Linked DNA regions of Elephas maximus indicus. The main gene of each other region encodes a partner of the protein of the gene in region 2 in a complex. Links are inferred from orthologs where the notes say so. Each region holds a gene or a part of one and is shown on either strand. Other genes may lie near its edges. The genes, in order: SLC7A9, SLC3A1 and SLC7A13.

Region 1 (7,521 bases), on a different chromosome or scaffold from region 2:
ATTGACATGAAGTTACAAGAACAGGCAAAAGGAACCTATGGTGATAGAAATCAGGGGTGGAGGACTGCCTGAGGGGCTGGAGGGAACTTTCTGGGTGATGTGTATGTCGAAACTCGAAATGAACCCGGTGACCACCGCCGATTGCGCTGACAGGGATCGCAATGGAGGGTCCTGGACAGAGCAGGAGATAAATGTAGAACAAAATACAAATTTCATAAAAAGACCAGACTTGCTGGTCTGACAGGACTGGAGAAACCCCAAGATCATGGCCCCTGGAGACCCTTTTAACTGAGGACTGAAGTCACTCCTAAGGTTCACTCTTCAGCCAAAGATTAAACAGGTCTATAGGGCCAAGAATAACACGTGAGGAACGTGCTTCGTAGTTCAATCATGTACACAAGACTGAACAGGCACACCAACCCAAAAGCAAAGATGAGACGGCTGGAAGGGCAGGAGAACTGGATGAATACAAACAGGGAACTAGGGTGGAGAAGGGGAGGGTGTGGATACGTCGCAGCATTGGCAGACCATGTCACAGAACAACATGTGTATTAACTGTTCAATGAAAAACTAATTTGCTCTGTAAACTTTGACCTAAAGCACAATTAAAAAAAAAAAAAAACAGAAACTGAACACCAAAGATCTGTGTGTTTCACTGTATACAAACCATACCAAAAACCAAACCCATTGCCATCAAGTCAGTTGTGACTCATGGTGACCCCATGTGTTACAGGGTGGAACTGCTCCACAGGGTTTTCTTGGCTGCAGTCTTTTTGGAAGCAGATCACCAGGCCTTTCTTCAGGGGAGCTGCTGGGTAGAGAGCAGGTCTGTGACCCATTGTTGGCAACAATTAGTTTAGCATTGGTAGGTAGCCCTTAGGTTAGCAGCCAATTGCAAACCACCTATACCACCCAGGGACCTATATAAACTATACAGCAATCAAAAAATATATATATATTTTTAAGGAGAGTATGTCTCACTCAGGCCCCTACTTAGAACGCCAGGCCTTGGAAGCTGCCGAGGCCTGATTGGGAAGCTGCCGAGGCCTGATTGGGAAGCTGAGGTCAGGGTGTGTGTGCTTGCCTGGGAGGGCAGAGGCTGAGTTCAGGGGGAGATCCTGGAGAACCAGGGCAATCCCAGCAGTGAGTTTGCCACCCATGGGATGTGACACACAGCAGGGGTCCCTGGGAAGCAGTGCCAGCTCCGCTCTGGGCCTCAAGGGTGAGCTGAGGGCCGTCTCAGCTCTGCTCCTTTCTGGTTGATTTTGTTTTTGTTGTTCATTGGTGACTTAAGAGACCCCACGTGTTACAGAGTAGAATTGCCCACAGGGTTTTCTTGTCTGTAAACTTGGCGGAAGCTGATCACCAGGCTTGTTTGTTCCGTGGTGCCACTGAGTGAGTTTGAACTGTCAACCTTTTGGTTACCAGCCACTTGCCCCACGCAGGGACCTTAGCTCTGCTGTCTTAATCGCTCCAGCTTCCACACCTCCCTCCTCAGGGCAGACAGCTTAGCTCACCAACATGCCCCCAGAATCCTTCCTCTGCTGAGCAACTGCCTGGATTCTAATCTGGGTGAGGTCTACATTCACCCTGAAGGTGCCTAGGTAAGTCTAGGACACACTTGGGCTTTGCTCACCTGTGCTCTTTGTGTGGCTCAAGGGCCACCTTGGCTTTGAGAAACCATCACTGGACTCAGTCAAGCCTGGCCCTGCAGGCCTGAGACTGACAGAGTTGGAGGGTGCTGTTGTCATTGACTCCTGGGGATCTGAGATCCCAGGCCAGCCAACGGTTAGGCCATGCCACCCGCCCTCTCATCTTCCGGGGCTTCCGTGTCATCGTCTTCCACCCCCTCTGGTCCCAGGCACAGAGACTGACAGAGAGGGAGGGTGCTGTTGCCCGTCTCCTTGTCAGCCCTCCTGGCCCCCTCTAGTCAGCAGGTACCTCATTACTTCCCAACTCTGAGCGTTCATCCAGGTCTCCCCCTTGTTAAACTCATCATCCAGCTAGACCCCTCTAAGATGGAGTGGGCTGCTTCTGGAGGGAGCAAGTCTCCTCTCACTACCAGTAGCCAGTGGCTATGGAGTCGATTCCGACTCGAGGTGGCCCCGTGTATGCCAGGGTAGAACTATGTTGCATAGGGTTTTTAATGGCTGATTTTTCAGAACTAGGTCACCAGGCCTTTCTTCCAATGTGCCTCTGGGTGGATTTGATCTTCCACCTTTTCAGTTGCACCACCCAGGGACTCCTTCCCATCACTAAACCAAACCCATTGCCATTGAGTCAATTCCAACTCATAGCTACCTTACAGGACAGAGTAGAACTGCCCCAAAGGGTTTCCAAGGCTGCCATACCTTTCTTCCACAGAGTCGGTGGTGGGTTCAAGTAATAGCTGAGCTGTTTAACCATTGTACCACCAGGGACCCTTTTCCCATCACCAGAGGTATTCAAACAGGAGGGACAGATACTTGGGACTCAGACATAGAGGGTCCTTTCACACTGCCCCTAAGAGTCCCCTGATCTGAGCAAATACTGGCCCCTGCAGACGTTTACCCAGGGCAGGAAAGCACGTATGTGTTAACTTCAAAAGAATATGCTGAGTTCACAGGAGGAAGAGAAAGAGATAAATCCAAAGAATTGTCCTTCCAAGATGTACCTTAAGAATCAAAGATCACTTCCTTTTGTTAGTCACTAGGGATTTATTTATTAGGGATTAGTGGGGACTTCATTCTGTCTGGGACTGCTCTTGAAAACTCCCCTACTCAGCCCTTGAAGGGGCCCCCAAAAGAAGACCACTTTACCTCTTTCTGGAGAATTGTGGTCTTGTGTTCATTACTCTGGATCGACTTCTCGTCCTCTCTCCTTTTCCTCAGGCGTGTCTCCCCCATCTCCCCGTCCTGCCAGTTCTGGGAAGCTGCAAGAAGGGCATGGGCCGGGTCTCCATTCAGCAAACACCCTGCTGGCAAGATGCAAATTGGGGCTTGCCCAGGCTCTTCTCAGCTAGGGCCTCTGGGATTTGGGAAGGGCCTCCAACAGCAGATTGTTAGCTCAGGCTTTAGGCAAGTACAGTTGTTAATCCTTAGTAGTAACTTGCTCAGTCCCAGGAGTAAATATTAGTCCTTAATCTTAATTTAGTTCAGGCCACAGGAAATGGAGCTTCCTGTGTTCTTTTCCAACCCAGCTGAGTGTTTGCCTCTCTCCCAGCAGCCTCCAGCCCCCAGGCTCCCAGGCCTGTCACTCCTCATCATCCTCAACAGTGACATACTTGAAAAGTCATTTTACCTCCATGGTCCAACTTGATTTTTTTTTAAGTTAAAAAAAAAAAAAAAGATGAATTATACCAGAATATGCTTAGCAGAATCAAGCCTGGGGAAGAAATCTTTTTCTTACCTCAAGCATGATAGGCCCATTCCAAAACCAAAACCAAACCCACTGCCATTGAGCTGATTCCCAACTCATAGCGACCCTATAAGACAGAGTAGAACTGCCCCATAGGGTTTCCAAGGCTGCAAGTCTTGACGGAAGCAGACTGCCACATCTTTCTCCCGAGGAGCGCCTAGTGGGAGGTTCGAACTGCTGACCTGTCAAGTAGCAGCCAAATGCTTTAACCACCACGCCACCAGGGCTCTGATGGACCTGTAGGATGAGTATTTTTGGACTGAGTGATGTAAGGAATGAAAAAAATTGCTGAGGAAAATTGGCTTAAGGCTACAGCAAGAGACCGTGGTCTACTGTGCCCTTTCTCCAAATAAATCCCCCTGGGCTGGCCAGAGAAGGGACAGGCTTCCCTTAGCCAGGCTTACCTTCTGCCTTGACCTTGCTGATCCAGAGGAGACGCTGCTGGCCTGGCCGACCACCTGCCTCTGCGCTGTCACACCCTAGGAATGGCCATGTCTTGTGTCCAGGAGTGGAGGAAGCCAGAAAGTACAGAGGTCAGCAAAGGTAATTATTAAACACCTTTTGTTGTGAGCAATAAAGCTTGGATACACCACACAAAAAGGGGAGGGTGAGGCAAGCTACTTTTCTCCTAAAATGTTTTGTTTTGTTCAGTTATGTCTAAATCAATTTTTTCCCCCAGATTTCCCCAAATCCACTACCGAAGAGTGGAAATAATGCTTTTTTATATCTTTTGGAAGCGAGGGAAGTAAGCTTTGGAACCAACTCTTTCATTACCTTAATGGGCTCTATTTACCACTGAGATAGCGCGAGTGGTAGCTGCTACGCTACATGGGACTCACAAATTGTTTTCCTTCCCACGGGGTAAATTCCTCTCAGAGTCCTTGGTCTGCATTCCTGTGGGATGAGGAGGGAGGCCTTTCTACTCACATTTGCCAGTGGCTGGATCCACCTGGAACCACCAGGGAGCCTGGCAAAAGGTGGACGCTGCAGAGAGGCTTCCTGACAGGTCCTAGCTCCGGCCTCCCTTGCTGCTCCCGCCAAGCCCCAAAGAGTTGTCGTTGTGCTGTTAAAGTAGCCCAGATCCAGGACTGTCGAGCAGAACAGGGACACCGAACACCATCAAGTCCGCCTTTGCATTTGCCTGACAGACAAACTGAGGCCCAGCGAGGGCAAGAAGCTCTGACCCCCACCCAGGGCTGGTGCATCTGGCTGCCTTCCCCTCTGGTTGCGGGGCAGAGACTCAGCTGCTCCAAACCCTTATCTCAGGTAAGGTCTGCCTGTGGGAGGCTCCTTATCAGACAGGTGAGAGGACAGCAGCGGGGGGTGGGGTGGGGGGGAGTGTGGGGGGGGGGACAGTAAGCCTGAAGCATTGTTGTTGGTATCACCACTGCTGCAGTTTTTTTTTTTTTTTTGATAAAATTATACACAGCCAAAAATACACAAATTGAACCATTTCTGCATGCAGGATTCAGCGACACTAATTACAGCCCTCACATTTTGCCACACTCTCACCAGCGGTTTTACATTGGGGTAAATGTAGCAGCACCCTACAAATCCAGATGGACCAAAGGCTGTGGGACAGAGGTGGGTGAGCCAATGGGGGTCACTTTGGGAGCCTTTTGGGGCAGGCCGACCTGAGAGAAGGAGGGCAGATTTCTCAGGGTTGCTTCCTACAACCATCAGGAGACAAGTGGACCCTTGCTTCCCAGTCCTGGGAAGGCTGAGCCTGCGCAGCAGGACACCTGCCTCCCTGAGCCAGGCAGGGCGCTCATCGGCCTGCTCCGACAGAACCTGCAGTGCTGGAACCCTAGTGTCTGGCCCACCCATATTCTCAAAACACCACAGGGCACTCCCTGGGTCAAAGTTGCCACCAAACCAACCAAAAACCAAACCCATTGCTATTGAGTAGGTTCCAACTCATAGCAACCCGAGAGGACAGAATAGAACTGCCCCAGAGTTTTCGAGAAGCGCCTGGTGGATCCAAACTACCGACCTTTTGGTTTGCAGCTGTAGTACTTAACCACTAGCCACTAGGGTTTCAGGCTGATATTCTGACAGAAACCACATGAAGAGGGTAGGCCTGGGACCAGGCCACCACCTCTAAGCCTCAAGATCCAAATCTTAAAATGGGGAGGGTAACGGTCCCTCTCCTGGAATTGTGAGGATTTCCACAGGTCGTGTGTTAAATCTCCTCCTTCCGTTGATGTAGAGGACCCCCTGGGCCTTCTGGGCCTCTGCCAAGTGCTGAGCTTGGAGCATCTGGGCATGAGGATCCTTTCAGAGTCAGAAATCAACACTTGAGTTAATTTGCGGTCTGTGGTGAGCATTTCTTAAGGTTTGGGTTTTTTGCTTGTTTATTCAGCAAAGTGATGTTCAACCAATTATAAGTTTTTCCTAGTGGAAAATAATTTGATAAAAACCATTTTTTTTCCTGATTCTTCTTCAAGACTTTTTGTTCATTATATATCCAGCTTTTCACCATACAGCTGAAGCTTTACCTCTTTGCAGTCAATTCCCTCTACAGTTACTTTCCAAGGAAGTTTCATGTTATTTTTTTTATACAACTCCAGTATTTCTTAGGTGTCTTCTAACGCTCTTGACCTTCCCTTTCAAACTCTGCTGTCTTAGACTGGGTTCTCTATGGAAGCAAAACCAATGAAGCATTGTTTTCTTCTGTTGTACATGGGGTCGCTGTGAGTCAGATGGGACTAAACAGCACCTAACAACAACAAAGTTTTCCATTGACTTTAGTGCTAAAAGATGCCCTAAGGACTCTCTTGTATTCTAGCCATACTCTTTACCTATGTTATGTAATATCAATTTGATTTCCCCTTGGTAATCAGGGTCAGTTACACCAGCCAATATGGTAACTCCTTTCTTGGCCTGTTGATCCAGAGGCATGAGGAGCCCCAAGTGACCAGATAGCATTCTTTTTTGTGTGTGTGCTTTAGATGAAGGTTTACAGAGCAAATTAAGTTCTCATTAAACAATTAATACACATATTATTTTGTGATATTTGTTGCCAACCCCATGACATGTCAACACTCTCCCGTTCACGACCTTGTGTTCCAGATTACCAGCTTTACTGTCCCCTCCTGCCTTCTTGTCCTTGCCCCTGGGCTAGTGTGCCCCTTTAGTGTCATTTTGTTTTATAGGCCTGTCTTTGGCTGAAGGGTAAACCTCAGGAGTGACTTCAGTACTGAGTTAAGAGAATGTCTGAGAGCCACACTCTTGGGGTTTCACCAGTCTCTGTCAGACCAGTAAGTCTGGTTTTTTTTGTGTGTGTGTGAGTTAGAATTTTGTTCAACATTTTTCTCCAGCTCTGTCTGGGACCCTCTATTGTGATCCTTGTCTGAGCAGCCGGTGGTGGTAGCCAGGTTTAGTTTGACAAAAATGTCTTCACTTTTTTGGCCCATTCAGAGAGGTCTATCCACATACCTCTTCCCCATACCTCCTTGTCACCAATTTTCCAATCATGTTCTTTCTAAGTCCCTGACCATCCAGCCAAATCATTGGCTACAGCCCATGTATCAGTATATAGTCAAACATCTGGCCATTTCTCCTTCCAGGCAAAGTGAACAACCAGGTACACTGCTCAAAGATCTGTCCATTGGGAGGATTTCCCTTCACCACTGTCCTTCAGGGAGGTCCCAGAAAGGGGCTGCAGTGCTGCCACTATCCACTTTTGGTGGTACCTGCATATTGTACAGAGCCATCTGTAAACTAGGCACGAGTTTTCTCTTCCTCAGTCAACTGATCATAAGGAACTCCCCATGAGGTCATAGGTACAGCTTGGGAGAGGGAAGGTAATGTGACAGGAATGGATACCATGGGCATTTGGGCCACTTTCTCATGCAAATTAATTGTGCCTTCAGGTCCTGCCCAAGCCCGTTCTCGTAGATACCACTTCCAGTTAATGATGGAGTGTTGCTGTGTTTGTCCAACTTTATGACTCTCTGGATCAGACAACATTCCGTTCATGATGGGCTGCTCAGGCTGCATGGTGACTTGGTGGCCCATGGTTAGGCTTTTGGTCTCTGCTAAGGCCCTTTTTTTTTTTTTTTAAGGCCCAGTAACAAGCCAAAAACTGTTCCTCAAAAGGAAAGTCGTTATCTAGAGAATGGC
Region 2 (7,207 bases):
TCCATCCTATAAGGTTGCGAGGAGGTTGTTGTTGGCACACAACAACAAAAATATATTGTTAGACACATATATATCATTTCTTAATATCAATTAAAAACATAAATATCTGTAGAAAACTTGGAAAAAATAAGCAGATAATTCACACAAATAAACGCACAAATATCAGGCAAATAAACAAGCATTTTCAATCACATTTGTAAAGAATTTTTAGAAGATAATAGTGCTGGCAAGGATCCAGTACAAATTGACGTAATCATTCTAGAAAGCAATTTGGCAATGTGTATGATAAGCTTTAACATTTTTCAAGGTAATAAAATGGGGCTAGCCTTACCAGATTTTAAAACAAAAAAAGGAATTGATAGTAAAGAAGAGATAGGCCACAAGATCAATGGAATAGATTGGAGTCACCAAAAATGGACCCCTATACATAAGGCGGAAACCTCGGTGGCATAGTGGTTAAGGGCTACGGCTGCTAACCAAAAGGTTGGCAGTTCATATCCACCAGGCGCTCCTTGGAAACCCTATGGGACAGTTCTACTCTGTCCTATAGGGTCGCTATGAGTTGGAATCAACTCAATGGCAATGAGTTTGCTTTTTTTTTTTCTTTTGTATACATAAGGAAATTTTAGAATGTGAAAAGGCAACATTTTGAATCAGGGAGAAAATGATTATTGAAAAAGTGCTGGACAGCTGGCTAGCTATTGGGAAAAAATAATAAAGCTATACAGCCTACCTTATTCCTTATACCAAAATAAGTTCTATGCAGATCAGATATAAAAGTAAAATATAAAACCTGTAAAATGCTAGACAGAAATGTATCTACTTAAAAAAAATAATCTTAGAGTTGGGAAGCCTTTCCAATAAAATACAAAATCTACATCCCAGGAAAGAAAAGATCAAAAAATTCGATTCCACAAATTAAAAACAAACAGAACAATCCACAAAGCTAGAAGACAACAAATGACAAACTAGAAAAAAATATTTTAAGACATACGGCAAGTTATTTTTCATAATATAGAAATTGATTTATAAATTAATACAAAAATAATCAGAAATACAAGTGGTTAAAAACACAAAATTCAAATTTCACTCAAAAGTAAACAGAAACCAAAATAAGAGGGATATAACATTTTTAGGCTTTTTTTGGCAAAAATGAGCAAGTTTGATAATACTCAGTGTCAAAAAATATACAGGTAATCAGCACTCTCATAAACTCATGATAGGACTGTAAACTAGTACAACCTTTGTGTGGGAGAATTTGGGAGTATATGTCAAAATGGTAAATCTCATAACCTTTGACCTAGAAGTTTCACTGCTAAAAATTTATCTTGCTGGTGTAAGGATATTCACTGCAACAAAACTGGAAACAACCTAACTATCCATCAATGGGGGAATCATTTAAATAAATTATGTCAAATCCACACAGTAGAATACCACCTGTATACTACAGAATGCGTTGGTCTAGGCTGATTTAAAAAATGTCCAAAATATAGTGTGAAGTGGGAAAAAATTTAGAACGGTATGTATAATCATAATTGTGCAGAAAAAATGACACACACAGTCATACATGCAGATTAAATTTTCAACTAGTGGTTGACCGGAGACTAAGAATAACTGGATAAAGATGAGGGTCACTGGACTTTTACATTTCACTTTTACCCTGACTAAATTTTTTGTCCTCAGCATATGTGACTTTTGTAATAAATAAAGGTTATATCTTTTAATTCAATAATCCACTTCCAAAAATCTATCTCAATGAGATGGAGCCAAAAATTTATGTATAAAATGTTTTATTAATTATAGTGGTATTTATAATAGCAAACATTGAAAACAACCTAAGAGCTTAATGATAAGAGACTAGCTTAATAAATTATTGTACATTCTTGTGATAGTTATTGAACATATTCTCAAAGACTTTTTAGTGACATGGAAAACATTTCACAACGTGTTGAGAGGAAAAACAGCTCTTAAAAGTCTCCTGTTGAATGGAAGAAAGTATCCCAATTATGTGGGAAAAAAACAAACAAACTCATGTATATATATAAAGCCTGACTAAAAAATATGTTTAGAGTGTTTATTTCCGGACTGTAAAATTATGGATGATACTTTGTTCTTTAAATTTTCTGGGTTTTCTGATTTTTCTATAATAAATGTGCATTGCTCTTGAAATTGGAAAAAAAAAAACTAAGCTAGGGTATCCTGATTTGGGAGTCTACCTAGAACTTCCAGGTAGGTGATAAAGAGTTCAGTATAAGGTGATTCCTCCTGACAACTGCCACCTAAAATTCACAAACACCCCTTACTAATACCTAAACGAAAGATATAAAAGCAAATTTAAAAAGCAGAAGGAAAACACAAGATCCAATTAACAAGTTTTGAAGCGCTTGGAAAGGAAGAGAAAGTTGGCAGTAAGCCCGAGAAGATATCTACAAAGCTAAGAATTCCAAGCAAGTACAAACTACTATTTACTTTAAACAGGATTAAAAAGGAAATAATAATTGTGGAAACCAACGACAGTCTGTAAAAATGAGTAAGGAACAAAAACACAAAGGAAGCTTTAACAGCTTACTCAGATGATCAGAATAAGGAATCCGAGATAACAAACATAAATTACCTCAGCGAATTCAAATCTCAGGAGAGTTACTCAAAACCGATAATAAAGCACAGATGAAATACCTACGAAACAGGTGACAGAACAATGGAGGAGCCAGAAAACTCACTGAAATGTAAATAAAGAAACAGAGAATAAAAGTAATCAAGGGGGAAAAAAGACGAATTTCAAGGCCATCACATCGTAAAGAGTCCCATTCAACAGCAAACCCGAGGCATATAATCTGTCAGATTGGTAAAGATTCCAAACCGAAGGGTTTTCCATATTTTTTACCTGTTCACCAGACTGATTCACGGACACTGTGAGCTGTGGGTAGGATCCATAACAGTCATCTTCAAGTTCCCGGCATCTAGTGCAGCGCCTGATATATTATTAAAAATAAAAATATTTACATAAAGATGGATGAACCTAATGCTAACCTTTGTGGGGGAGGGAATGGGTGTAGAGAGAGGGGAAATAGAAAGTACATTCTGCACAAAAATGTAGATTTTTATCATTTCTCTTAGCCATGTGTTCTTGTCATGGTACTGTGTACTGAGTAGAATTTTAAGTTCAAAGACCTCAGCGAGAATCAAGTCCTGCCTCCACCATTTGCTCACGGCATGATCTTAAACAAACTTGCCAGCTTCTCTAAGGTGCTGTTACCTCAGCTGTAAAACGTAATTTGGCTACAGAGTTAACATTATAAATATAGACCACAGTAAGGTGTTTTTTAAAACCATTCTAACGAGAAAGAAAGGGGAAGGATAGATTTATCCCAGCTAGAGAGGAAAGTTAAATTCATACAACAACTGAAAAAAATAGAGGCTATTTTTAAAACTTTTTATAGCCAAATGAAACAAAACAAATAGCAAAAGAAGAAACGTACCAGAACATGAAAATGTGACAAATGTCACCACAAAATCTTACTATTCTGCACATATAAAGAATTCATGCAAATATACAAAATCAATAGCCAAATCACATTCAATAAGAGATGAAAAGATATGTTAAGTTATATGTAAGAATGTAACACGTGATAAGTCATCACATAAAAGCACCTTCTTGATGGAATAAAAAACTTGATAAGGTGCACTATAGATTAATTGCACTAATAACCCAGTTAATGGTCTTCCTGTATCCATGCCGTTTCCCCTCATAACTTCTTAACCCCTTGGCAGACTGAATCTGGGCTTGGCCATGTCACCCGCTTTGGCCAATGGGACAATAATAAATGTGACACCAACAAAGGCTTAAACAAAAGTACTTGTGCATTTCTCTTCTCTTTTGAACCTCCCCCGTCGTCATCATACCAGCATGCCCAGGTTAACCTGCCGGAGGGATGTGGGAGACATGTGAAGGAGTGCTGAGTCTCCCCAGCCAGGGTCTTTCTAGACTAGCCAGCCCTCCAGCTGACGACAGATGCAGGAGCAAGCCCTGCTGAGATCAACTGAGCCTAGCCCAGATCCACAGAACCAGCCAATCAACAACTACCATACCATGAAAAATAATAAATGGTTGGGTTTCTTTTGCTTTTGGCTTTTTAAAAATAGTATTAAAAGTACATTTCAAGTATGCAATTTAATAAGTTATAGATCCATGAAACCATCATCACAACTAAAATAATGAACATGCCCATCACCCTCAAAAGTTTCCTCTTGCCCCTTTGAAATCTCTCTCTCCTATTCTCCTTCCCAGCACCACCAAAACCGCCTTCCATTCCTAGGCAACCCCAGGATAATTACTATAGATTAGTTTGCATTTTCTAGAATTTCATATAAATGGAATCATAACAGAGTATGTACTGTTTTTTTTTTTTTTGGTCTAGTTTCTTTTATGAAACATAATTATTATTTTGAGATTTATCCACGTTGTGCATATCAATAGTTCATTATTTTTTATTGCTGAGTAGTATTCCAATACAAAGATATACCAAAGTTTTTAAGCAGGCATTTGTTTCTGTTTTCTTTTTCAGTTATTGGCTATTACAAATAAAACCGCTGTGAACATTCACATTCAAGTCTTTGTAAGGACATAGCTTTCTCTTCTCTTGGCTGAATGCCTAGGAGTAGAATGGCTGGAACATACGGTTGTTGTTGTTCGCTGCCATCAAGTCAGCTCTGACTCACGGTGACCTTATGTGTAACAGAATAAAAGGTTGCCCAGCCCTGTGCCATCAGGTCCTGTACCATCTTAACGATCACTGGTATGTCTGAGCCCATGGTTGTAGTTATTGTGTTAATCAGCCTCATTGAGGGCTTCTGTCATTTTCGTTGGTCCCCTGCTTTACCAATCATAATGTGCTTTTCTAGTGACTGGTCTTTCCTGATGAAGTGCCCAAGGTAAATGGACTGAAATCTCTCCATTCTAAGGAGTATTCTGGTTGTATTTCTTTTAAGGCTGACTTGTTTATTCTTCTGGCAGTCTACAGTATATTCTTCACCAATGCCACAATTCAAATGCATCAATTCTTCTTCTGTTTTCCTTTTTCATTGTCCAGCTTTTGCATGCATATGAGGCGATTGAAAAGATCATGGCTTGGGTCAGGCACACCTTAGTCATCAAAGTGACATCTTATATGGTAGGTGTATGTTTAACATTTTGAGAAACTGCCAAAATTATATTAGGAAGTGAAATAGGAACCATTTTATATTACCATCAGCAGTGTACGAGAGTTCCAGTTCCTCCACACCCTTGCCAGCATTTGCTACGTTCAGTCTGTTTAATTTTAGCCATTCTAATAGATGAGTGTCGTTGTTGTTAGTTGTCATCGAGTCACTTTCAACTCATGGCAATCTTACGTATAACTAAACAAAACATTGCCTGGTCCTGTGCCATCTTCATGATTGATATGTTTGAGTCCATTGTTGTGGCTCTTGTGTCAATTCATCTCATTGAGGGTTCCCCTCATTTTTGCTGATCCTCTGCTTTACCAACCATGATGTCCTTTTCTAGAAACTGGTCTTTTGAGGCTGCTTAGAAGTCTCAATATATACATTAAATATATATATATATATATATATATTTTTTTTTTTTAGACAGAATCTGTGAGGCATGCATGTCGTTAATATCCTTAGAGGGGCCTTTGTCTGCATACCTGAATTTGGGAATCATGAAGAAGCTAGGAATGAGAGTTTTATATTCAAATCAGAAATTCCTGGATCCAGACAGTCCCTCTAACACTTGGTCTAAAGTTTTTCTTAGTTAGATCAACCAAAACAAAATGACATTTTTTAAAGGAAAACAACCAATCCAACACTCAACACTTAACATCACAATGCCTGGCATCCAATAAAAAATTACTAGACATGCAAAGAAGCTTCAAAAGGTAATCCAAATTCAGGAAAGAAATCCATACATAAAAACAAACCCAGAAATGATATAAATGATGGAATTCACAAACACAAATTTAAAAACAGCTAAAAAAAAAAAAAATTTTTTTTATTATAAACATGCTCAAAGATTTAAAGAAAAACAGGAACACCATGAGTGGTATAATGGAAGATATAAAAAAGAATCAAATGGAACTTCTGGATATGGAAAATAAAATACAATACAAAAAAAATCTCTAGGTGGGCTCAACAACAAATTAATCACTTCAAAGTAAATGATCAATGGATTTGATGACTAGCAGTGGAAACTATCTTAACTGAAGCATAGAGAGAAAAAGGGCTGGAATTAAAAGGTAACTGAAAGGTCAGCAGTTCAAGCCCACCAGCTGCTTCAAAGGCAAAAGATGTGGCAGTCTGCTTTCATAAAAATTACAGCCTTGCAAACCCTATGGGACAGTTCTGCTCTGTCTTATAGGGTAGCTACAAGTCAAGGTTGACTAGATGACAGACAACAACAATAGGAGTCTAAGTTATAATCTAGGCCTAAACACCATTTCTAATCGAATGTTTCTTTTAATATCTCTGTCTTAGGCTGGGTTCTCCAGAGAAGCAAAACCAGTAATGCATATAAATATACATATAGAGATTTATATTAAGGAAACAGCTCATGCAATTGAAGGGGTTGAAACATCCCAAGTCCTTGGATCTGCATAGAGTACTTTCCCAATTCGCAGAGCCGCAGAAGCTGTTGAACCCAAGATGTGCAGGTGGAAAAGCAGGGATCCCGCTCACAGGTTGTGATGGTCAAGGAATCCCCAAGGTCGTCAGGCAAGACCACCATGTTTCTCCTGAAACTGCAGGGGCTGGTGAACCCAAGACAGGCAGATCAGCGAGCGGGACTCTTGTTCGCAGGCCAGGAAGATCGGCGAATCCCAAGATGGACAGGTAAGCTGCTAGCTCAAGTCCCAAGAACCAGAAGTCAGACAAGAGACAGCTGCTGGATCCGGAACAAGCCAACAACTTTTGCAAGGCGAGCAGGAAGGAAGTAGGGGCAGAAGGCAGAGAGATGAAGGCTGAGGGAGCCGTGAGCCATCACAGGCCCCACCCCCACTGGTACCACTCAGCAGATTCCATCATGGGGGTGATCACATATCAAATTTCAACAGGAAAGTGATCACAACATTATACAACTGCCAAAATACTAAGAATCACAGCCCAGCCAAGGCGACACACAATCTTAACCATCACCGTCTCCAGATCAGGTCCTCTGCTCCAGTCAGTCAGC
Region 3 (7,946 bases), on a different chromosome or scaffold from region 2:
CAGAAAATCTGAACAGACCCATAACAAGAGAAGAGACTGAAGAAGTAATAAAACAAAACTCTCCCCCACCCCCCCAAAAAAAGCCCTGACCCTGACGGCTTTACTGGAGAATTGTACCAAACATTCAGAGAAGAGCTCACACCAATACCACTCAAACTATTCAGAGCATAGAAAAGGAAGGAATACTCCTGAATTCATTCTATGAAGCCAACATAAATCTGATACCAAAGCCAGGCAAACACCATGGAAAAAGAAAATTGCACCCAATATCTCTCATGAATATAGACACAAAAAGTCTCAACAAAATTCTAGCCAATAGAATTCAGTATCATATCAAAAAAATAATACACCACAGACCAAGTGGGATTCATACAAAATATGCAAGGATGGTTCAGTGTTAGAAAATCAATGAATGTAATCCATGACTGAAATAGAAAAAAAGAAAACAAGCACATGATCATTTCAATAGATGCAGAAAAGGCATTTGATAAAGTCTAACACCCATTCTTGATAAAAACTCTCAATAAAATAGGAATAGAAGAGAAATACCTCAACATAATAAAGGGCATGTATACAAAACCAACAGCCAACATCATTCTCAATGGAGAGAGGCTAAAAACATTCCCCCTGAGAACAGGAACAAGACGAGGACGCCCTTTTTCACCACTCCTATTTAAGATTATGCTGGAAGTCCTGGCTAGAGCAATAAGGCAAGAAAAAGAAACAAAAGGCATCCATATTGGAAAGGAAGAAGTAAAACTATCTGTATTCACAGATGATTTGATCTTATACATAGAGAACCCCAAAAATTCCAAAGGAAAACTACTGAAACTAATAGAAGGATTCAGCAGGGTTGCAGGATACAAGTCAACATACAAAAATTGGTTGGATTCTTATACATCAACAAAGAGAATTTCAAAACAGAAAGCAGATAAACAATACCATTTATAAAATAAAACAAACCTATTGCCATCGATTCAAGTCATAGTGACCCTGTAGGACAGAGTAGAACTGCCCCATAGGATTTCCAAGGAAGCTGGATTTGAACTACCAACCTTTTGTTTTGCAGCCCAGCTTTTAACCACTGTGCCACCAGGGCTCCATACCATTTATATGGAAAAGAAAGAGGCCTTGGATAAGCAAAGCAGCATTGAAGATAAAGAACAAAGTAGGAGGCCTCATACTCTCTGATCTCAGAATCTACTATACAGCCCCGGTAGTCAAAACAGCCTTGTATTGGTTCAACAACAGACACATAGACCAGTGGAGCAGAATCGAGAACCTAGATGTAAATCCATCTACCTGTGGTCAGCTTATCTTTGACAAGGAAACAAAGTTCATTAAATGGGGAAAAGACAGTCTTTTTAACAAATGGTGCTGGGAAAACTGGATGTGCATCTGTAAAGAAATGAAACAGGACCCATACCTCATACCATACACAAAAACTAACTAAAAATGGATTAAAGACCTAAATATAAAACCCAAAACTCTAAAGATCATGGAAGAAAATAAATGAATAGATAAATAAAGACAACGTAGGGGCCCTAAACATGGCATAAATTCAATACAAACCGTAACTAACAATTCACAAACACCAGAAGATAAACTCGATAACTGGCCCAAGCCAAGCCCATTGCCACCAAGTCGATTCTGACTCATAGCAACCCTATGGGACAGAGAGCTGCCCCATAGGGTTTCCAGGGAGCAGTTGGTGGATTCAAACTCCCAACCTTTTGGTCAGCAGCGGAGCTCTTAACCACTGTGCCATAACTGGGAGCTCCTAAAAGTTAAACACTTATTCTCATCAAAAGACCTCACCAAAAGAGTAAAAAGAGAACACACAGACTGGGAAAAATTTTTTGACTATGACATATCCAACAAGGGTCTAATCTCTAAAATCTATAGAATACTGAAACACCTCAATAACAAAAAGACAAATAATCCAATTAAAAAAATGAGCAAAGGATTTGAACAGACACTTCATCAAGAAGACATTGATACAGCTAACAGACACATGAAGAAATGCTCTTGATCGTTAGCCATTAGAGAAATGCAAATCATAACTACAATGAAATACTATCTCGCCCTGACATTACTGGCACACACACAAAAAAAAAAAACCCAGAAAATGAGATATGCTAGAGAAGTTCGGGGAGATTGGAACTCTTAGGAACTGCTGGTGGGAGTGTAAAATGGCATAACCACTACAGAAAATGATATGGTGCCTCCTTAAAAACTAGAAACAGAAATACCATACCATCCAGCAATTCTCCTAGGAATATATCCTAGAGAAATGAGAGCCGTCACACAAATAGGCATATGCATACTCATGTTCTGTGCAGCATTACTCACAATAGCAAAAAGATGAAAACAACCTAAGTGCCCATCAACAGATGAATGGAGGAACAAATTATTTTACATAATGGAATGCTACAAAATGATAAAGAACAATGATGAATCCTCAAAACATCTCACGACATGGATGAATCTGGAGGGCATTATGTTGAGAGAAATAAGTCAATCACAAAAGGACAAATATATGAGAACACTATTATAAAAACTCATGAAAAATTTTACACACAGAAAAAACAATCTTCGTTGGTTACAAGGGAGAGGAGGGATGGGGAAGGGAACTCACTAACTAAGATAGTAGACAAGCGTTAACTTTGGTGAAGGGAAAGACAACACACAATATACGGGAAGTCAGCACAACTGGACCAAGGCAAAACCACAGAAGCTTCCTAGATACATTTAAACACCTCAAGGAACCGAGTTACTGGGGCTGAGGGCTGCGAAACATGATCTCAGGGGACATCTAGGTCAATTGGCATAACAAAGTTCATAAGGAAAATGTTCTACATCCATTTTGGTGAGTAGTTCTCTGGGATCTTAAAAGCTTGCGAGCAACCATCTGAAATACATCCATTGGTTCCATCATGTCCGGGGCAAAGGAGAGTGAAGAAAACGAAAGACAGAGAAAATATCAGTCCAAAGGACTAATGGACCACATGATCCACAGCCTCCACTAACCTGTGCCTAGAACAGATACACGGTGCCTGGCCACCACCACCAACTGCTCTGACAGGGATCACAATAGAGGGTTCTGGACAGAGTGGGAGAAAAATGTAGACCAAAATTCAAATTCGCAAAAAAAAAGACCGGACTTACTGGTCTGACAGAGGCTGTAGGAACCCCTGAGACTATGGCCCTGGACACCCTGCTAACTCACACCTGAAGCCACCCCTGAAATTCAGTTTTCAACCAAAGATCAGAGAGACCTATAAAACAAATAATAACACACATGAGGTAGGTACTTCTTAGTTCAATCAAGTACACTAGACCAAATGGGCAGCACTTGCCCAAAAGCAAAGAGGAGAAGGCAGGGAAGGACAGGAACCTGGATGAATGGATGGGAGGGAACCCACAGGTATAAAGGGAAAGGGAGAGAATGCTGACACATTGTGGGGATTACAACCAATGTCACTTTGTGTATAAATTATAAATTTTGATTGAGGAACTAATTTGTACTGTAAACTTTCACCTAAAACCCAATAGAAAAATTTTACAAATTCCCAATAAAACCTTCCTATCAAAAAAAAAAAAAAAGCCACAGAGATGAACACAGCCATGTTGCACCTGACCTGACCCCATGACACACCTGCTGAGAGAGAGACACCTGCTAACACTTGGTCCAAGTCTTGCCCACCTGGCGGCATAGACATGGACACAGGTAATTCGAGAAGGGAGAGTGAGTTCCCTTTTAGACATAAAAGAGTTCTCTCCTATGATACTAAGTAGGGTACTCCTGGGGGCGGGGAAAGGACCGATTCACATCAAATCTGTTCCTATTGTTTACTGTTTGCTTTCTGTAAGTAATCTCTTCTTGTTTACTGTTAACCTTCTTCAAATAATAACAATGGATTTTAGTTGCCAATATTGTGTGTCTTGTGTGTGTAACCCAATTGGATTGGATCATCTTCATCCTAGCAGTCATATGATCGCTTGGATGCAGTGCATAGCCTGTGTGTATGCACACATGTACATGCATGGGCATGGTTCACTTGCAAAATGAGCCTGTCTCTTGATCAGCCATCACTCTGGTACCCCGGGTCACAGGCACAGAGATGTGAATGGGAAGTACAGGAGAAGACCTGACCCCAAGGACGAGGGGAAGGAGGGTCCTAACCATCTGAACAAGGCCTGGACCTGAGTAGCTCTCACATATGTTGATTTTACAATGAAAAGCATTGTCAAGAGTATTTCCGAAGGCTCCTAAGCCTGGAGCACAGCCCCAGGTTGGAAGTAAAGTATTTCTGAAGTATCCCCTAAGGGTATGTGAAAATTAAATTGTCCATGTTTTTGCTTTGGTTGTGGGAAAAATGGCAGTTTTCTGGAAGATTGCATCCAAAAAATCTACGGTAATACTGTACAGAGCTGAGTAAACATGACCAAGTCCACATCCCAAATGAAACCAGGCCTCCCCTCCAGAAAGACGCAAAGTAGCAGAGTGCAGAACTGTCTGTGGTCCTACCCATTGCTCCCCTCTTACTTATCTACTTTAAGAGGAGACAGGGAGAAAATCAACTACACAGCCGATTTCTGCTTTTCACTGTAATACCCTCTGTCCTATTTGAAATTCCATTTATCCATTTGAATGTATTATTTTGATAATAATTAAAAAAACAAGCAAACTAAACTCTTCTAAGAAATCTCACACTATTTTCTTTAATGTTTCACACGTATTTTGTTAATCATTAAACATGAGCTATGTGTAATAAAGGTGGAATGAAAAGCACTGCCCTGTTCTATTTCAGAGAATCGATGAACATTTTATTTAGCAATATAGTCAGGAAAATTCAAAAATTGTAATATATGTAGAAAATTTAAATTCCTTAAAGAAAATGGATGAAGGGAAGAAGAGACAGCTCCGGAGGGTATTTGGATATTACCAGGGCGTATGTTTTACCATCATTAATATGATTGGTACAGGAATTTTTGTGGCTCCCAAAGGGGTGCTGAAGTACTCTTGCATGAATGTGGGGCTATCCCTGTGTATTTGGGCTGCCTGTGCTTTATTGTCCATGATGAGCTTTCTCTGCTCTGCAGAGATAGGTATAACCTTCCCATGCAGTGGGGTTCAGTACTATTTTCTCAAGAAATGCTTTGGCTCCGTGATCGCTTTCCTAAAACTTTGGACAGGCTTATTTCTGGGGCCGGGGATAGTCGCTAGCCAAACCCTGCTCCTCGCTGAGTATGGCATCCAGCCTTTCTATGGCAGCTGCTCTGCTCCAGAGCTCCCAAAGAAATGTCTGGCACTGGCCATTGTATGGATAGTGGCAATCCTGAATACTCGTGGTGTAAAAGAGATGGTTTGGCTTCAGACAGCCAGCACAATGCTGAAAATGGCCATACTTGGTCTCGTTTCCCTGACTGGAGTGGTGATACTAGTGAGAGGAAGGAAGGAGAATGTAGAGAGGTTTCAGAATACTTTCGATGCTGAGTTTCCAGATGCCTCCCAGATGACAGAAGCCTTCTTCCAAGCATTTTTCGCATATTCTGGCGGAGACAGCTTCATGTTTATAGCAGGTAATTTACAATCCACTGAGAAGCAAATCTCGTAAGCTATTATTTTTGCATGCAATATGAAATGTACATCTTCTGCTGGATTTGGAGTTTTATTTTAAATAAATGATTCAATTTTTTTTTTTTTTTAATTCTTTGTGACTTTCCTAATCAGGTCAGAGTATACCAGCCTTGCCACTTCCTCTTAATTATTTTTCCATCTATTCAAAGTACCTGTTTTATCAACAACTTCTTTCTTTCCTGGAACCAGAGATATCAGACCACCATGTTAATCTTTTTTTTTTCCTGTTAATGTGGGAATGCTGTGGTTGTGGAAATATTCGCTTCGCATGAAACTAATTGAATACAGGCTGTATTTAGGTTGTGGGTACATGTGACACACTTCGGCTCTTAAGTATTTTTAAAGGGAAGAGAATCGTAGATATCCTAAATTGCTCTTAGGCTGGATTTAATAACCTTCCCTATTCGATGCCAGGACAGGAGTTTTTCTCTCTTTTTTTTCAAAGTCAACCTCTTCCCTTAGACTCTGCATCCTTTCCCTCCCACCTCCTTAGGGACCTTTCTTGTGCATTTATTCCATTTTTTGTTTTTCAACTTCTACCTTTCTACCAGTTCTTAGGCTTGAAATTTAAACGTGAACCAGACTCTTCAGTTCTTAAAAAAAATATTTTCCTTAAATCTTAGAATCCTTTCTAGTCACTGATGTGTCAATAATTCACGAAATCATTCTATCAGCAAGCATCTGTTAAAACACCATTTTTAATATTCTGTACTAGTGCTTGAAGATGAATAAGATGTATTCTTTGCACTAAAAAGGCTTACAATCTAGTAGAACAGGCAACATCTGTATTTCAGCCTGACCTCTGACACCAGCTGTGGTAAGTAACTTCCCCTCTCTGGACTTAACTTTTTTTTTTTTTTGCAAAATGGGCATTATGGCTCAAAATCATTATAATTTGGTGCCTTGTAGATAAATATTGGCACGACAGTATCTAATAAGTTGCCGTAAGGGAACAATATAATTGCTTTGGAAATTCAACAGAAGAAAAGGTCACTTTTCACTGTGTCCTCAAGTGGAAATCGTGGCAATCTGAATTGAATCTAACGGTTTAGGCAGTAGGAAAATACGAGTGAAGCTGTGGAGAACAGAGGTGTGTAGGGTACATAAAAGACATGGCAGGTGGTCTTGGGTGACTGCAACATGGTTTCTGTCTGAGAGCCTGATAAGAGATATGGTCAGTAAGAGAAGTATGTACAGAGAGCAATAATATAATGGTATAAGATTGGAGACATACGACTGGAGAATGCCAACTTTTAGGTGGTAAGAGGAGAAAGAAAATGCCTTGGAAAACCCACAGGAGGTTCAGAGAATTGTAAAGGAAAATCACCACATGTTTTATAAAGAGGCGGTAATCAAAATGGTTGAATGCTGCTGAAGTTGAGGAGTGTGAGGACTGATCAAAAAACATTTCACTGACTAAATAAGAAGTCACTGACAGAGAAGGAAGTCAGTTTGCACTGAGCTAAAAAATGAGATATTGATGAGAGTATAAAACTATGAGAGAAGAATTTTTTATGTAGTTTATGATTAAATGGGTGACTGCAATTTGAGAGTTTAGCAGAATGAGCAAAACTCTGTCTCACGTTGTCTCTGTTAAGGATAAAAGAGATCTCTTTGGCTTCTATTTGAGCCAATTTTATCTTGTTCCATTGCCAGAGATGTTTCATTTTAGATAATTATTCTTTTCTGAAAATAGATTGACAAAAACAGCTAGCAGTAAACAAAGGCTGGAGGAATTCCAGTATGTGCCGGGGTTGTTAATTTACTAAATTAATTCTAAGTAATACTCCCACCTGTGAAATGGTGATTTTCAGGCAGCTGACTTTGCCGAGTGTAAGAACATTTATCTTTTAAGTTCAAGACTCAGTGGTATTCACTACCTGTCCAGCTATTATAAGCCTCTGTTATAAATTAAATTCTAATCCCCACTTCTCTCCATACAGTCGGTACATAATAAGAAAGAGTATAAGGCCCAGAGAAAAGTGTAGTTAATCTAAAAACTTGCCCTTTATCTTGTTCCAGATTTTTGACTAATAACCATAGTTATTAATTAACAACCACTTCTTAAGCACTTATTAAGTGCTGTACAACGTGATTGAAGTTTTATTGTTTCTGTATTTTCCATTTCCCCCAATTGTCCAGAAGCCTTCAACTAGTAAATCATTCAGGCAGGGCTTAAATTAGAGCTTTGTAATTATTTACATTTTAAGTGCTTAATCAGCTCACGTGTCCCTCATGGACATTGGATTCAACCCCTGAGCAAATGAAGATGGAAGAATTTTGACATATGTCAAAGGAGAGA

The links.
Region 1: the proteins of SLC3A1 (region 2) and SLC7A9 are in contact, whole or in part, in a cryo-EM structure (PDB 6LID), measured with the Homo sapiens proteins. The link is inferred for Elephas maximus indicus from reciprocal best matches to the Homo sapiens genes SLC3A1 and SLC7A9. Residues at the interface, in NP_000332.2 of Homo sapiens: Pro64, Tyr65, Ala66, Gly67, Met68, Pro69, Lys70, Leu73, Phe74, Phe76, Ser77, Tyr82, Pro85, Arg86, Phe90, Thr93, Val97, Leu100, Ile101, Ala103, Thr104, Ile107, Ile108, Ser111, Cys114, His201, Asp202, Thr373, Glu374, Pro375; in NP_001119807.1 of Homo sapiens: Cys137, Phe140, Tyr141, Val142, Gly143, Cys144, Pro147, Ile149, Val150, Cys153, Leu154, Ala156, Ala157, Leu160, Phe161, Thr164, Leu168, Thr279, Thr281, Asp295, Arg296, Tyr299, Tyr343, Val346, Arg347, Lys467, Thr470, Met471, His472, Gln474.
Region 3: the proteins of SLC3A1 (region 2) and SLC7A13 are in contact, whole or in part, in a cryo-EM structure (PDB 8WK6), measured with the Homo sapiens proteins. The link is inferred for Elephas maximus indicus from reciprocal best matches to the Homo sapiens genes SLC3A1 and SLC7A13. Residues at the interface, in NP_000332.2 of Homo sapiens: Pro64, Tyr65, Ala66, Gly67, Met68, Pro69, Lys70, Leu73, Phe76, Ser77, Arg81, Tyr82, Pro85, Arg86, Leu89, Phe90, Thr93, Ser96, Val97, Leu100, Ile101, Thr104, Ile107, Ile108, Ser111, Cys114, Leu115, Glu194, Asn195, Asp202; in NP_620172.2 of Homo sapiens: Ile120, Phe123, Phe124, Pro125, Ser126, Cys127, Leu132, Pro133, Cys136, Leu137, Leu139, Ala140, Met141, Trp143, Ile147, Arg151, Lys187, Thr265, Arg267, Asp281, Arg282, Glu450, Cys454, Tyr455, Gln457, Leu458, Leu459, Phe460, Asn461, Ile462.

The regions. Positions count from the first base shown.
Region 1 is NC_064839.1:14,861,586-14,869,106, forward strand, and holds the start of SLC7A9 (B(0,+)-type amino acid transporter 1), read right to left. Parts: upstream 3,044-7,521; 5' UTR 2,886-3,043; coding exon 2,799-2,885; intron 1-2,798. UniProt on the Homo sapiens protein: Associates with SLC3A1 to form a functional transporter complex that mediates the electrogenic exchange between cationic amino acids and neutral amino acids, with a stoichiometry of 1:1.
Region 2 is NC_064844.1:18,312,588-18,319,794, forward strand, and holds the start of SLC3A1 (neutral and basic amino acid transport protein rBAT), read right to left. Parts: upstream 3,074-7,207; 5' UTR 2,885-3,073; intron 1-2,884. UniProt on the Homo sapiens protein: Acts as a chaperone that facilitates biogenesis and trafficking of functional transporter heteromers to the plasma membrane.
Region 3 is NC_064833.1:55,505,399-55,513,344, forward strand, and holds the start of SLC7A13 (solute carrier family 7 member 13), read left to right. Parts: upstream 1-4,901; coding exon 4,902-5,586; intron 5,587-7,946. UniProt on the Homo sapiens protein: Associates with SLC3A1/rBAT to form a functional heterodimeric complex that transports anionic and neutral amino acids across the apical plasma membrane of renal epithelium.